Saccharomyces cerevisiae S288C: one gene and its partners. Changing the gene in region 1 together with any one later gene gives a genetic interaction. Each region holds a gene or a part of one and is shown in the gene's direction. Other genes may lie near its edges.

The links.
Region 2: mutations in YCL002C (region 1) and ASI1 together harm fitness more than expected from each alone (negative genetic interaction), as found in Saccharomyces cerevisiae (2 studies listed by BioGRID).
Region 3: mutations in YCL002C (region 1) and HUL4 together harm fitness more than expected from each alone (negative genetic interaction), as found in Saccharomyces cerevisiae (2 studies listed by BioGRID).

Annotation. Positions count from the first base shown.
Region 1 is NC_001135.5:110,185-113,639, reverse strand, and holds YCL002C (uncharacterized protein), read left to right. Parts: upstream 1-1,964; coding exon 1,965-2,006; intron 2,007-2,082; coding exon 2,083-2,832; downstream 2,833-3,455. Other genes in the region: YCL001W-A (uncharacterized protein), read right to left, coding at 99-560; RER1 (protein retrieval receptor), read right to left, coding at 1,158-1,724; PGS1 (CDP-diacylglycerol--glycerol-3-phosphate 3-phosphatidyltransferase), read right to left, coding at 2,970-3,455.
Region 2 is NC_001145.3:503,392-507,720, forward strand, and holds ASI1 (putative ubiquitin-protein ligase ASI1), read left to right. Parts: upstream 1-1,941; coding exon 1,942-3,816; downstream 3,817-4,329. Other genes in the region: bifunctional phosphoribosylaminoimidazolecarboxamide formyltransferase/IMP cyclohydrolase ADE17, read right to left, coding at 4,111-4,329. UniProt on the Saccharomyces cerevisiae protein: E3 ubiquitin-protein ligase which transfers ubiquitin to substrates promoting their degradation.
Region 3 is NC_001142.9:500,200-505,260, reverse strand, and holds HUL4 (putative E3 ubiquitin-protein ligase HUL4), read left to right. Parts: upstream 1-1,869; coding exon 1,870-4,548; downstream 4,549-5,061. Other genes in the region: MLO127 (Mlo127p), read right to left, coding at 1-1,325; DNA-dependent ATPase RAD26, read right to left, coding at 4,649-5,061.

The DNA of each region.
Region 1 (3,455 bases):
TCCTTAAAACTGGCTTATTTGCTCCTTCTCTGCATATATCAGAAATTTTTTCAGCAGTGTCTTCGCATAAAATCCAGGGGAGCATAATATTATTATTCTCAGTTCATCAAAATTGAAATTTCTAACCACTGTGTCATCCGTTCTTTCTTGTCACACAATTTGCTAATATCAGTTCTATCTTTCTTTTTTGGAAACTTCAATTTTAGTTTTAATATAATTGAAGACGCTTTCAATAAGCAAATGCCAGAAAATCCTTCTTGCAGAACCACCGTAGCAGTTTCTGAGTTTGATTTGGAGTCGATTGCTTCTTTCAAAAGTTTTCTGGCACATTTGTTAAAGTGGCGCTTAATAGCAGTAAATAGATGTTCACTGGTGCTAGCTATATAGCGCAGATAATTCTCTATTACATCAAATTCGTGGGATAAGTTTTTTAATCTTACAGCTACTAAATTGGTAACTGTTTTTCTTATCATCTCATTCTTCTTAGTTTTGAATAATTTTTCTGAAATATAACCTTGTCCTTCTTGTCTATTATTATTGATAAATTGTAAAAAGGTCATCTTTAAGTTGACGAATCAACGTGATAATTGTGTAACCGTTATCTTCGCTGTCGTTTTTGCTACAGATATGATTTTCATTTTCCATTGAAGTCTATTGTGCCACTTAATCAAAATGCGTTCGATGATAAATTTACTAAGTTCTTTAATAACTTGGAAAACTAATACACTAAAACACATGCACGCCACGGAGTATGGACATTATAAACGTGTGAACATTTCAAACTCACAACTTGCATGACATTACTCTCTCTTTTGCATCCTTTATTCCTCGACATACCCCATTTCTCACTAATTTGGTATTAGTAATTATGCAGAAAGGTTCGAAGCTGTCAATTCTTTTTAGACATGTTTCTTGAAAGTCTTTACAAAAATTTATCAATTGGAGGCATCTCAAGCTCTCCATTTATAAATGGAAGAAAATGAGCCTCTTCCCTTCAATTTTGCTTAATCAATAACTTCATGTATTCTTCCAATATAAGAGAAGATGAGTAGAAGGAGAAAATAATCACAATTATTCTGTAACTATCATATAATTTTGTTTACATATAATTAAGATACGAATGTGTTCGTTGAATAGGTATGTGGAGTCAGGGTATATCAGTTAGAAGAATGAGAATATTTCTTCTTACCGATATCTAAGGGTATATATCTATATTTTATCATATGTTGAATCTGCCTTCTCATAGTTAAAAAAAACAATAATATGAAATACATCAATAAGATGGGCCAAAATACTGGAATATCGAAGATTGAAAATAGCGACAACAAGAGGGAAATGACAGTGGCTCTAATGCTGTTATACCAGAATTTGAACTCTGGTAATCTTCTGATGAATGGACGGAATTCTTCTGATTTTTCTCCAGCTTCCAATTCGTTGTTTTCTTCATCTTGCTGTAAGGACATATCGAATTTTGGGGTCAAAAAGGCTAAAAATTGATTCAATAAAAATAGACCTAGACCATAACAAATCACATACCAGCCTTCGGCCATTGTAATACGAACCATAAACAAACATAACAAACCACCCAATACAGCCCACCTCTCCTTAGCGTGAGGAGTGACTTTATCCAAATAGTGTTGATATAATAATTTCATTGTATTCATCTTAGTGATTAAGGGGTTACTTGAACCACCGTTCATTGTATCAGAGCTATCGTAATCCATCTTGCTTCCTTTTTTTGATACTCTATGCCTTTCGTGTAACACTTAGTCCCAAATCGAAATCGCCTTTCTTGTATCGTTATTTTTCTTATGTATAATTCGTGTTCTACTGCAGAGGCGTGTTTTGACAAGTTTTTTTTTCCTCTGCGAACGAAAAACCCACAATTTTTAACCTCATTGAGGTAAGGTTTTCCAGAGGAGAGGTTGAGGAGCCCTGCGAAGCAATTATATTGAATCATTCACATGCTTGTTATTGTTCTGCAGGGCTTGGCAGGTTTTTTATCAGTATGCATAATTGAAGGAGAAAGTATACATGAAAGGTTTGACTAACTAAGGGAGAAAACTTCCATTTCTTACATAGATCATCGCCATTCTATGTCAAAAGCGCTATAATAAACTTCATCGATCTATTTACGGGCTTTCATATGATTTATTTCTGCTAGATTTTGTTGGTAATGGTCTGTACTTGTATTGCGCGTTGCATTATTGTTATTCATCTCTGGTGAGGGAACAACTGTCTCAAAGATTCCCACTTTTTTATCCGTTGAATGATGCCCGTAGTATACCTATATCCAGTTTCCTCATTCTAAAAGATTTTTGCGTTTCCTGTTGCTGCATGATGGTTTTAAGGCAGTTATACTATTATAGGTCAACTAAACATATTTATCAGGGCATTTCCATTACTTCCATAATAATTATAAGTGTGTTCCTTGTATTAGGCATATTTACATATGGCTGTTCCATCTCTAATTTACCGTTGAAAAATTCAGGTAAATTTGGCGTTTTCTATTTGGAACACATAAATTATTTGTGGGTAATGGCAAATCTGCTTAAATGTTTCAAGTATGTGCCTCAAATGAGTATAAACTGGATGGGATGCTCAACAGTAGGTTTATCATCAAAGTTTGCATTGATATCATTTTTGGCTGAATCTATCGATTTATTAGGTAGACTGGTAATACCGACCAATGCATTGTTTTACGAGATACCATTTAATTCAACGCCCTTTTGGGTAAAATTGATACAATTTGTCACCTTATTGGTCATACTTTGTCAAGTTCAGTATGTTTACGTAGGACGGAAACCACGGTTGCCAAAAGGAAAACTATAACAAGGTCAGCTCATTCTCTACCTTAATGGCTTTGCGATGTTTGCAAATTTAAGGAGTTTTAGATAATGCATTTATTATTACTATTTTTTCTTTTATTTTTCCATATTTACAGGCGACATACTATGATAGAATAGAATCTAAAGTTTTTTACCCAAAATGGAGGTAGCTATCTTTACACCAGTGCCAACATGTCTTTCTGGGTCTGATTGAAAGTCTTCTAGAGTTACAGGTTTTGTATATTGTAATAAATTATCTAACTCTGCTTTCATTTTTTTTCTTAGCTCTTCATCTCTTGTAATAATGAGAGCATTCGATTCCAAATCTAATGAATACGCCCTTCTCGTATAGTTTGAAGATCCTATAACCGTGATAAAGGGTTTCCAATTGTTAGCATCATTTTTATCACGAGCGGAAAGCCAAATACCTTTTGCGTGATATGACCAACCATTCGGCTTATTTACTACGCCTCTTTGCCATTCTCTTAATGTAATAGCATGATCTTGTCTGTACCTACATACATCTTGTAGAAATTTTTTTGACAGGTACAAGTAAGCACCAGGTAAATTTGATGAGACGCCCTTTGATTGGTAAAAGCCGTTTGCAAAGGGGGAAGCTGTTATTAC
Region 2 (4,329 bases), on another chromosome or scaffold:
TAGAATAGTGGATGACAGAGTATATAAACAAAGAAAGAAGCACTCAGGATTTTCTATAAATAGTGAAGTTTTCTATGGACGCCAAAAAATCTTAAGGGTATCTTGAGTGTAATCATCATTGGAAGGATTATTATCTTTCACGAGTAAAATACTATTAATAACTAGTAATTTCCGTGAAGTCATTAAAATGAACAAAACGATAAAACGGTTTCTTATTGCTAATGTGCTGATTTTTTGCCAAAAGGTAAAATCTAAAAATATCAATTGCATACCTTCACATTTGGTATATTACCATATAATAGCAAGATGACATAAATCGGTGAGGAGCAGTTACCAAATTCCATGGAAGATGAAAAACAGGGTTGATAATATAATAAACTGTTGGAACGAGAGTAATTAATAGTGACATGAGTTGCTATGGTAACAATCTAATGCTTACATCGTATATTAATGTACAACTCGTATACGTTTAAGTGTGATTGCGCCTATTGCAGAAGGAATGTTAAACGAGAAGCTCAGACAATACTGAAGCTGTGTTAAAGACCTATTAGTTGAACATGTTATGGTAGGTACATATATGAGGAATATGAGTCGTCACATCAATGTATAGTAACTACCGGAATCACTATTATATTGGTCATAATTAATATGACCAATCGGCGTGTGTTTTATATACCTCTCTTATTTAGTATAAGAAGATCAGTACTCACTTCTTCATTAATACTAATTTTTAACCTCTAATTATCAACATAAACAATGGAAGAAAAATAATAATATTACCAAGCAAAATTATTGTCCTTGTGGATTTCGATATTTTCAACAGGTACCTTAGTAGAGCTGAAGTTTTTTCAAATTAAACATTTATGTGGTAGTCATATATATGTGTCATGCGAGTCTTTACATTAAATATATGGTAACCACCAGAGAACTTGTTATATTAGTCACGATTAATAATGTTGGAATAAAAATCCACTACCGTCTATCAACTAGTAGTTATATTATCAATATATTATCATAGACGGTGTTAGATGATGATATAAATTATGAGAAGCTGTCATCAAAGTTAGAAGAAGCTGAAATGCAAAGATTGATAATATGATAGGATAATGAAACATATAAAATAGAAAGAGGGATAATCGTAATATTAGTATGTAAAAATATACATTCCATTTTGAGGATTCCTATGTCCTCGTGGAGAACTTTTAGTATATTCTGTTTACCTAATATTATAATCTTTTATCAACAATGGAATCCCAACAATTATCTCAAAATTCACCTATATCTCAAATAATAAACCGATCGGACTGCGTTCAGTGAACCTCTCTTATATAGTATAGGAAGATCCAAATTTATTATTCGCTGATATGACCTTTTGACCTTTACATATTAACGAGGTGCTTTTACCAATGCATAGACGAGCAGCTTATCCCATAATGAGTTTAAATTCTATTCAACTCATAACAACTTATAGTTGCTATAGTCACACCTTTTCAACAGATAAGTGGTTGTTTGGCCGAGCGGTCTAAGGCGCCTGATTCAAGAAATATCTTGACCGCAGTTAACTGTGGGAATACTCAGGTATCGTAAGATGCAAGAGTTCGAATCTCTTAGCAACCATTATTTTTTTCTCGCGTATTCCTTTGAGGGCGCCCCTTTATGTTGAAATATTGAGAAGCTACGAATCAAACTTTGAAGTCAGTTGAGTAAGCAATATGAAAAACATTGGAAAATACAATAAAACACAATTACGAAAACTATATTGTTTTGAACAGAAAAATAGAAGGAAGTACTAAAATTACTCTTTCACCACACAACAATTTTAACTCAAGAAGATAATCACTGCTTACTTTTATATTTTATAGACAATTTGCACTTTGGGGTATTTTTCTTAATTTTATCTGGGTTTTTTTCTTCTTTTTACAAAGAAACTATGCTAAGAATATGAACTCTTCCACTTCTTCAGAAAATGTGTTCATAAATTCATTTAGCTATTTGAATCAAACATCACAAGCCGTAATCTCAGGTAACTCCACTTTCGCAAATGTTATCAACTTTCCTTATAGACTTGGATTATCCTTTATTGGGGCTGTGAACTTGCAGTACGAGCAAACCGTTAAATCTGAAGAAATTCCCCCAACTCTAAGGTCTGTTTTTGATACAATAGGGTTTTTTTTCAGCCCGTACGCCATATTTTGCTTTGTAATCGCCATTGTCCTGAACCGGTTCGTTGTATTTTACGCCGTCCTTAACAACGGTTCCAGACGTACTTTACCGTTATGGTTGAGTAATGTTTTCCATGTATCAGCAGTAGTTGTATTAGCAATGGTATCCTTAGGTCCGCTGACCTTGGGTAAGGATTTCAAAATATTAGGCGACCCTGCTTTTGCCCAAGAAAAATTTTTACTGAATATATTCTACGCTTTCGCTTACTCTTATTGTGTCGAAACCATATTTACCATCATGCGGAATTCCAGCCCTTTGGAGGGCACTGACTATTCATTGTTTGAACTTTCGATTCAGTTTTATACAATGACTAATAATAATACTAAATTTTTAGATTCTCCTGATTACATTATAGACTGTTCTATGGCTATTTTGAGCAGGATATTGATCCATTTGGTGGAGATTTTCAGGCTTAGAAATTATCGTCTACTTTTTAGTACTATTATGAACCTCTGTCATATTTGTTACTTAGGGATAAGAGTTAAGCAGGGCGGCTGGAAAAGCCTTCCATTTTCGGTGAAATTTAGGCACTTTCCAAAACTGTTTTCAGTGTCTATTATTTGCTTATCATTACTGATTTTTAAATTATCATGCTTAATTAGATGGGATCCATTTGGAAAATCACGTAATTCTTGCGAACTTTTACAGTTTTACCCTCTCAGTAGAAATTGGAAAAAATACTTAAATTACACGGGAGAAGAAGATTTTTCTGCTATGGCCACTAAATTCGCACTATTATTATGCTCAGGAACTGAACTAATGGAAAAGGGTATACGAAGAGAATTTCCTGCTATTAACATCCCGGATAATGTTAATGAGAAATTTTTTATTAGCGGTTATTTAAATGAACTTTCTAAACCGTATAAAGAGAACACTTCCATCAGCTTCCCAAAGAAAAATTCATCAATATTAAAGCAAAGATTTTTTTTAATGTTTCCAAAATCTATAATATGGATCATGAAGAAGCTTGTAGGCCAAGTATTCTTTGGCTTCAGAGATAACAAGGACGAGGACATCCCCGACAACGACCCATCAAAAATGTTAAAGATAACTAAAACGAACTCTCTCAATAATAGTGCCGGCCACAAAGAAGATATTGAACTTGAACTATTGAACACATCAGATGATGAGTATTCTGAAGATTACGAGCCTTCTGAAGTTGAGTCACTGGGGGATTCTGATGAAGAAAACTTGGAAGAAGATTCACTGATTTTCAACGAAACTCGGGATGCCCTACTGGATTTATTTTCTTCCGAAGATAATGAAGTTCATACTGATTATAATTGGATCATGTCAACTAGCCGTATCCTTCAACAAAAATTACTGTCAGATAAAACTTTGACAAGGGCGTCTATCTTAGATACAAAGTTAAGTGAAGTAGATGAGACTTTTGGTACAGAAAGTGATTTTGATCTATCTTGCGCGGTATGCAAAGTCAATGAAAGAAATACAGTATTATGGCCCTGCCGATGTTTTGCCATTTGCGAGGATTGCAGAATTTCTTTGGGTTTACGTGGGTTCAGCACTTGCGTATGTTGTAGGAGTAAAGTTCATGGGTACTGTAAGGTTCATCCTGTTTCAGATAGTAAATAATAGTTTAAGAACTTTTGCATGGTATCTAAAAGAGGTTTTTCGTTTGGGAGCTCTAGCATTAATTACTATAGCTAGAGCTTTCTGTGTTGCACATATAAACATCATAATAATAAATCAAGTTTTTTTTCTTTGGGAAATGTTCGAATTAAAATTGTACTTATAACATATCGTATCATTAGTATATATATAAAAGTGTCAGTGGCGATTATATCATTAGAGGAGGAAAGAATAAACTATACATCGATTTGCCGTCATTTCTGTATTTATGGCATATTGACTCTGAACTCATGCCATCTAATGGTGGAACAAACGGATTGGGTTCTCTACGTAAACCAAATCGAATGAATCGGCAGCTGAAAATACAACCTTGTCCATGACAGAACCAGATGGAGCGGCAATGTATTTGACACCGGATTTAACTGCTCTGTAAACATTGTCTGGGAATGGGAAAAATGCATCCGATGACAAAGAAACGTTGGTTAATTTACTCAACCATTCCTTTCTTTCTTCTGG
Region 3 (5,061 bases), on another chromosome or scaffold:
ATGCAAGTGGACGCGAAAATGTCCCCACACGATCGAAATTTCAAGCACAAGTATCCCTGCCCACAGTGTAATGATCCACAAGATAAATGTGACTTGGTGTAGTTCCCTATCAAATCGGAATATAAGGTTGATTTGCAAAGAAAAGAACCAAGATGAACAAAATTACTATGCCCTTCATTTCTGACTGAATATACTGTAAGATGGCCCTTTGGGGATACCAGTATCCAACACTTCTCATTGAAAAACGCTGCAAGGTAGTGATCATGTGAGGAACCACCATTGATGGGAAGCCTCTCAAACAAGGCCTTTTCCCAGATATACGTATCGTCTTCAAAACTGCTAAGGATTGCATTCATTCTGCATGTTATTAGAATTGCAGTACTCGTCATAAATGTAAATGTTAAATGATTTAATGTGGTATCCGCTAAAATAGGCTGCAAAAGTTCGATTCTTTCCATGTTATCAGACCCAAAGGCACCAGGCCCTTGGTATATTTTGTCTACCGTTTTACCATCAATGGTCTGTTTCGATGACAATGCATGTTTAATAAAATAAGTTTTCCATGGCGTAAAAACAAAATGACCAATATTGGTGACCGATTTGAGAAGTACTTGTGAGACCGTTGCTTCCTCCACAAATGTTAAATTGGTAGTTCTTTGCCACTTCGTTCCTTTGGCTGGTTTAGACTCGAATACACACACGCATGCTTCCAACTTATATGCAACCTCATTGTGTGCACGTGTGAGAATCGACAACGTAAAGACATCCTTATCTAAGAAATCATTGAAATTGATACACGCATCTATGGATACTATCGGTGAGGATGTCACATAACTCAGCTTAACGTCTGTTTCTTCCAAACAAAAAATGTCCTCAGTAGAAATCTCGTAAATTTCAGTGCATGACAAATTAAAAACCAGAGCTGTTCGTAGTGGATCTTGGAACATGAACTTTGGCTCTGATCTTACCTGATCAATTCCTGTTTCCAGAGATTTCACTATTTTGTAATCAAGGTTGACGAAGTCCAACCGTCCCGTGGCTTTCAACAGAATATAAAATCTTCGGTTAGGTGCAGTATGATCTTTGAAATAAAAGGCTGCCATTGTATATCCGACAGTCCTAAGTCTTAACTTCTTGCGCGCTTCATCTTGTTCTACCCCTTCAAACACATCTATATATTCTAGTCCTATGACCACCAATTCTCGGCTCTGTCCTTCGAGTCCATCTTCTTCCCTAATAAAACATTTAACTACATCCGGGGGACCATCAACCTCACTTACTATAATGTTGTCAGTCATCGCTATACGAATCCTCCCTGCTGGCATGAGAAATTGGATACGCCAAGCCCTGGGCAGCCTCCTCTTTGCATCGTTTCTCTTGCTTTCATCTTTCCACTATCCAATTACCCTGACTCTCGTTCCTGTCTATCATGAGTCTCTTGTCAAGCCAACAAGTGCTTCCTTTGGAGGTATACGATTGTCTCAACTTACTATGATTATGGAGAGGAGAGCAACGCCTACGTGTCAAGACCCATCGTTAACCGAGGTCTAGCTTTAACCTTGTATCTCCTAGCACTTTTAAATAAGGCAAAAAGGGAGTAGGGTCATATCTTTCTGGGACCCTTTTTTTGTGATTGCCCCAAATAAAGGAAAAAAATGGAGGTTACAGGATTTTTTGAAGAGTCAGGTATAACCGCCCATGTGGAACAGGTAGATAGATAAATATATTCGAAGGATTGCTAGATAGGGGCAAGTTTTTGCATGCATTTCTCGACTTTAAGCAGAAAAGTACATATTTTTAAGGGCATTGGTGAAATTTACCAGGTATATCTCTCGAATACTGCGGCTGATAGGTAAAGTAAAATAGGAAATGGTTTCTTTATTTGATAAGCTTAATGCAAAAAAAGACGGTAGAGATGGATCTGTGTCGAAGGAGTTGCTATCACATTCTGTAGCCCATACTAAGAACAGGTTACCCAAATCAGGAAGGCGCACGTCGGAACGGTCCTTAGCCGCTAGTGTAAAGGACGGAAGTTGCTCAAATAGCAAAAGCAATAAGCGGAACTCTTCGGCATCCGTGTCAGGGGAAGAAGATAAATCCTGTCTAATTTCACTTAATTGCCTATGTTGTGGTGTCCCACTACGGTTTCCAGCCTCCATAACGAAATTTCGATGCAGCGCATGCCAAGTAACAGTTATTGTAAAGGAGCCGGAAATTAACAGTAATTTGGAATCTAGTACGCATATTTCGTGCACATTAGAGGGTTTGCAGATGGTAGTAAGGCGGTGCCATGATGATTTGCAGCGGCTTAAGAAGACTGGGATTCTGGATAAAGAAAGAAAGGGGTTGATTTTCCAACCGGTAATAACGTATTTACTGGACAGATTTCATGATGTTAGCATTTTAAACAGGTCGTTCTTGGTACATGATGGTGGAAAGAATATAAAGATGCTGAATTATGAAGTTTTACAAAGATTTTACAGTATATTATCAAATCTTCCTACAAGGAAACCGTATTATAGTATGCTGTGTTGCTGTAACGATCTACTGAAGAGAATAACAATCAATAAAGGGGAAAATTTGCAAATATTACAGTATCGTTGGTTGCTGATTATATTAAATATACCTACAATACGAACCTGCCTTATTAGAGATCGGAAGAGCAAAAATGTGTTTGAGACCCAACAAATAAGGGCGGTGTCTTATGAGTTGGCCAAACGATGTATTGGCTACTTGTCTAACCTATCAACAAAAACATCTCAACAATTGATTCAATCATTACGGCGAACGCCTACGGATAATTTTTCATACCAGGTAGAGATTTTAAATTTATACATCAATTTCCAATTTTCCAGATTACTGTCGAACGAATTATCAAATAGAACCGCAAAAAATAACGTGAAGCCTGAAGATGAGATGCGATCTCGTCTTCGTCGGCATCACACTACTGGCCATGAATTCCTGAGTACTAGACCAATAAGTGCACAATCAAATGATAAACAGGGAAGTGGTTTCACGCATCCCGTCAATAATAAGATGAAATTTAAATTTTTTCAATATGAGGAAGACTGGCATATTCACTCTGCAGCAAAATTGACGTTCATCTATTATGTAGCCAATACTAGAAGAAATGGCCGTGGAGCGTTGTCAATTCAAAGCTTTTACAATATAACGCTAGACTTCATAGATTATAAACAAGATTTCGATCATTGGAGAGGAGTAGCTCAAAAGACAAAAATGAATCAACTGATTGAAGAGTGGGGAAATTCGACGACAAAAAAATGTTTTTCATTCTGTAAGTATCCATTTATATTGTCACTCGGCATCAAAATCTCTATTATGGAGTATGAAATTCGCAGAATCATGGAACATGAAGCTGAACAGGCTTTTTTAATTTCACTGGATAAAGGCAAATCCGTAGACGTTTATTTCAAAATCAAAGTACGGCGTGACGTTATTTCTCATGATTCATTGAGATGTATCAAGGAACATCAAGGCGATTTATTAAAATCGCTGAGAATAGAGTTTGTTAATGAACCTGGAATTGATGCGGGAGGGTTGAGAAAAGAATGGTTTTTCTTATTAACAAAATCGCTGTTTAATCCGATGAATGGCTTATTTATTTACATAAAAGAAAGCTCACGTTCATGGTTTGCCATTGACCCTCCAAATTTTGACAAATCAAAAGGAAAAAACTCACAACTGGAATTATATTACTTGTTTGGAGTTGTCATGGGGTTGGCGATTTTCAACAGTACCATATTAGATTTACAATTTCCAAAGGCGCTTTATAAAAAACTATGCTCAGAGCCTCTGAGTTTTGAAGATTACTCGGAATTGTTTCCGGAGACAAGTAGGAACTTAATAAAAATGCTCAATTACACAGAGGATAATTTCGAAGACGTCTTTTCTTTAACATTTGAGACTACGTATCGAAATAACAACTGGATTTTAAATGACAGTAAATCGAGCAAAGAGTATGTAACGGTAGAATTATGTGAAAATGGCAGAAATGTGCCAATAACCCAAAGTAACAAGCATGAGTTTGTCATGAAATGGGTAGAATTTTATCTGGAAAAGTCCATTGAGCCACAATACAATAAATTTGTTTCAGGTTTTAAAAGGGTCTTCGCAGAATGCAATTCTATAAAATTATTTAATTCTGAAGAGCTGGAGAGATTAGTGTGTGGTGATGAGGAACAAACTAAATTTGATTTCAAATCGTTAAGATCCGTGACAAAGTATGTAGGTGGCTTCTCCGATGATTCCAGAGCGGTTTGCTGGTTTTGGGAAATTATTGAAAGTTGGGACTATCCATTGCAGAAGAAATTATTACAATTCGTAACGGCATCTGATCGTATACCTGCAACGGGTATCTCTACTATCCCATTCAAAATTAGCTTGCTAGGGTCGCATGATAGTGATGATTTGCCATTGGCTCATACATGTTTTAATGAAATATGTTTATGGAATTATTCCTCGAAAAAAAAACTAGAACTGAAATTACTTTGGGCAATTAATGAATCTGAAGGTTACGGGTTCCGCTAAGAGTCTTCAGAATATACATATACACATAACACATACATATTTTTTATAGATATTTCTATGGGTAAAGTTACGTCAAGGGTACTCTGTCCATTCTAAGTTTTCATGAAGCATTGTTATTCCTAAATTCTTCATCAAGCACCCACCCTTTACGCTCTTTATCAAACTGTGCTATGGTTTTTAATAATGCTCTAACCTTAATAACGTCTTCTTTATCAGAAAGACTGACGCCAATGCTGTTAAGTATGCTAACACTAGATGAGAAAAAGTTATTCTGTTTCTGTAAATATGCCCGAATATTTTCTAGCGTTTTGGTATTGGAATTGATTTCCTTGGATCTTGCGAAGGTTATACCATCGTCGTAATTTTCTTGGCGAGCTTCCTTGGATGCCTCTTTTTGTGATTTTGTAATATTGCCTAAAATGGCAGCTGATCCAGTTAATTTATTTTTCAACGGATCTCTCTTTCTAATTTTACCTGCTTTACCAAACCTACCTGTCCAAGTAGGTGTCCCAA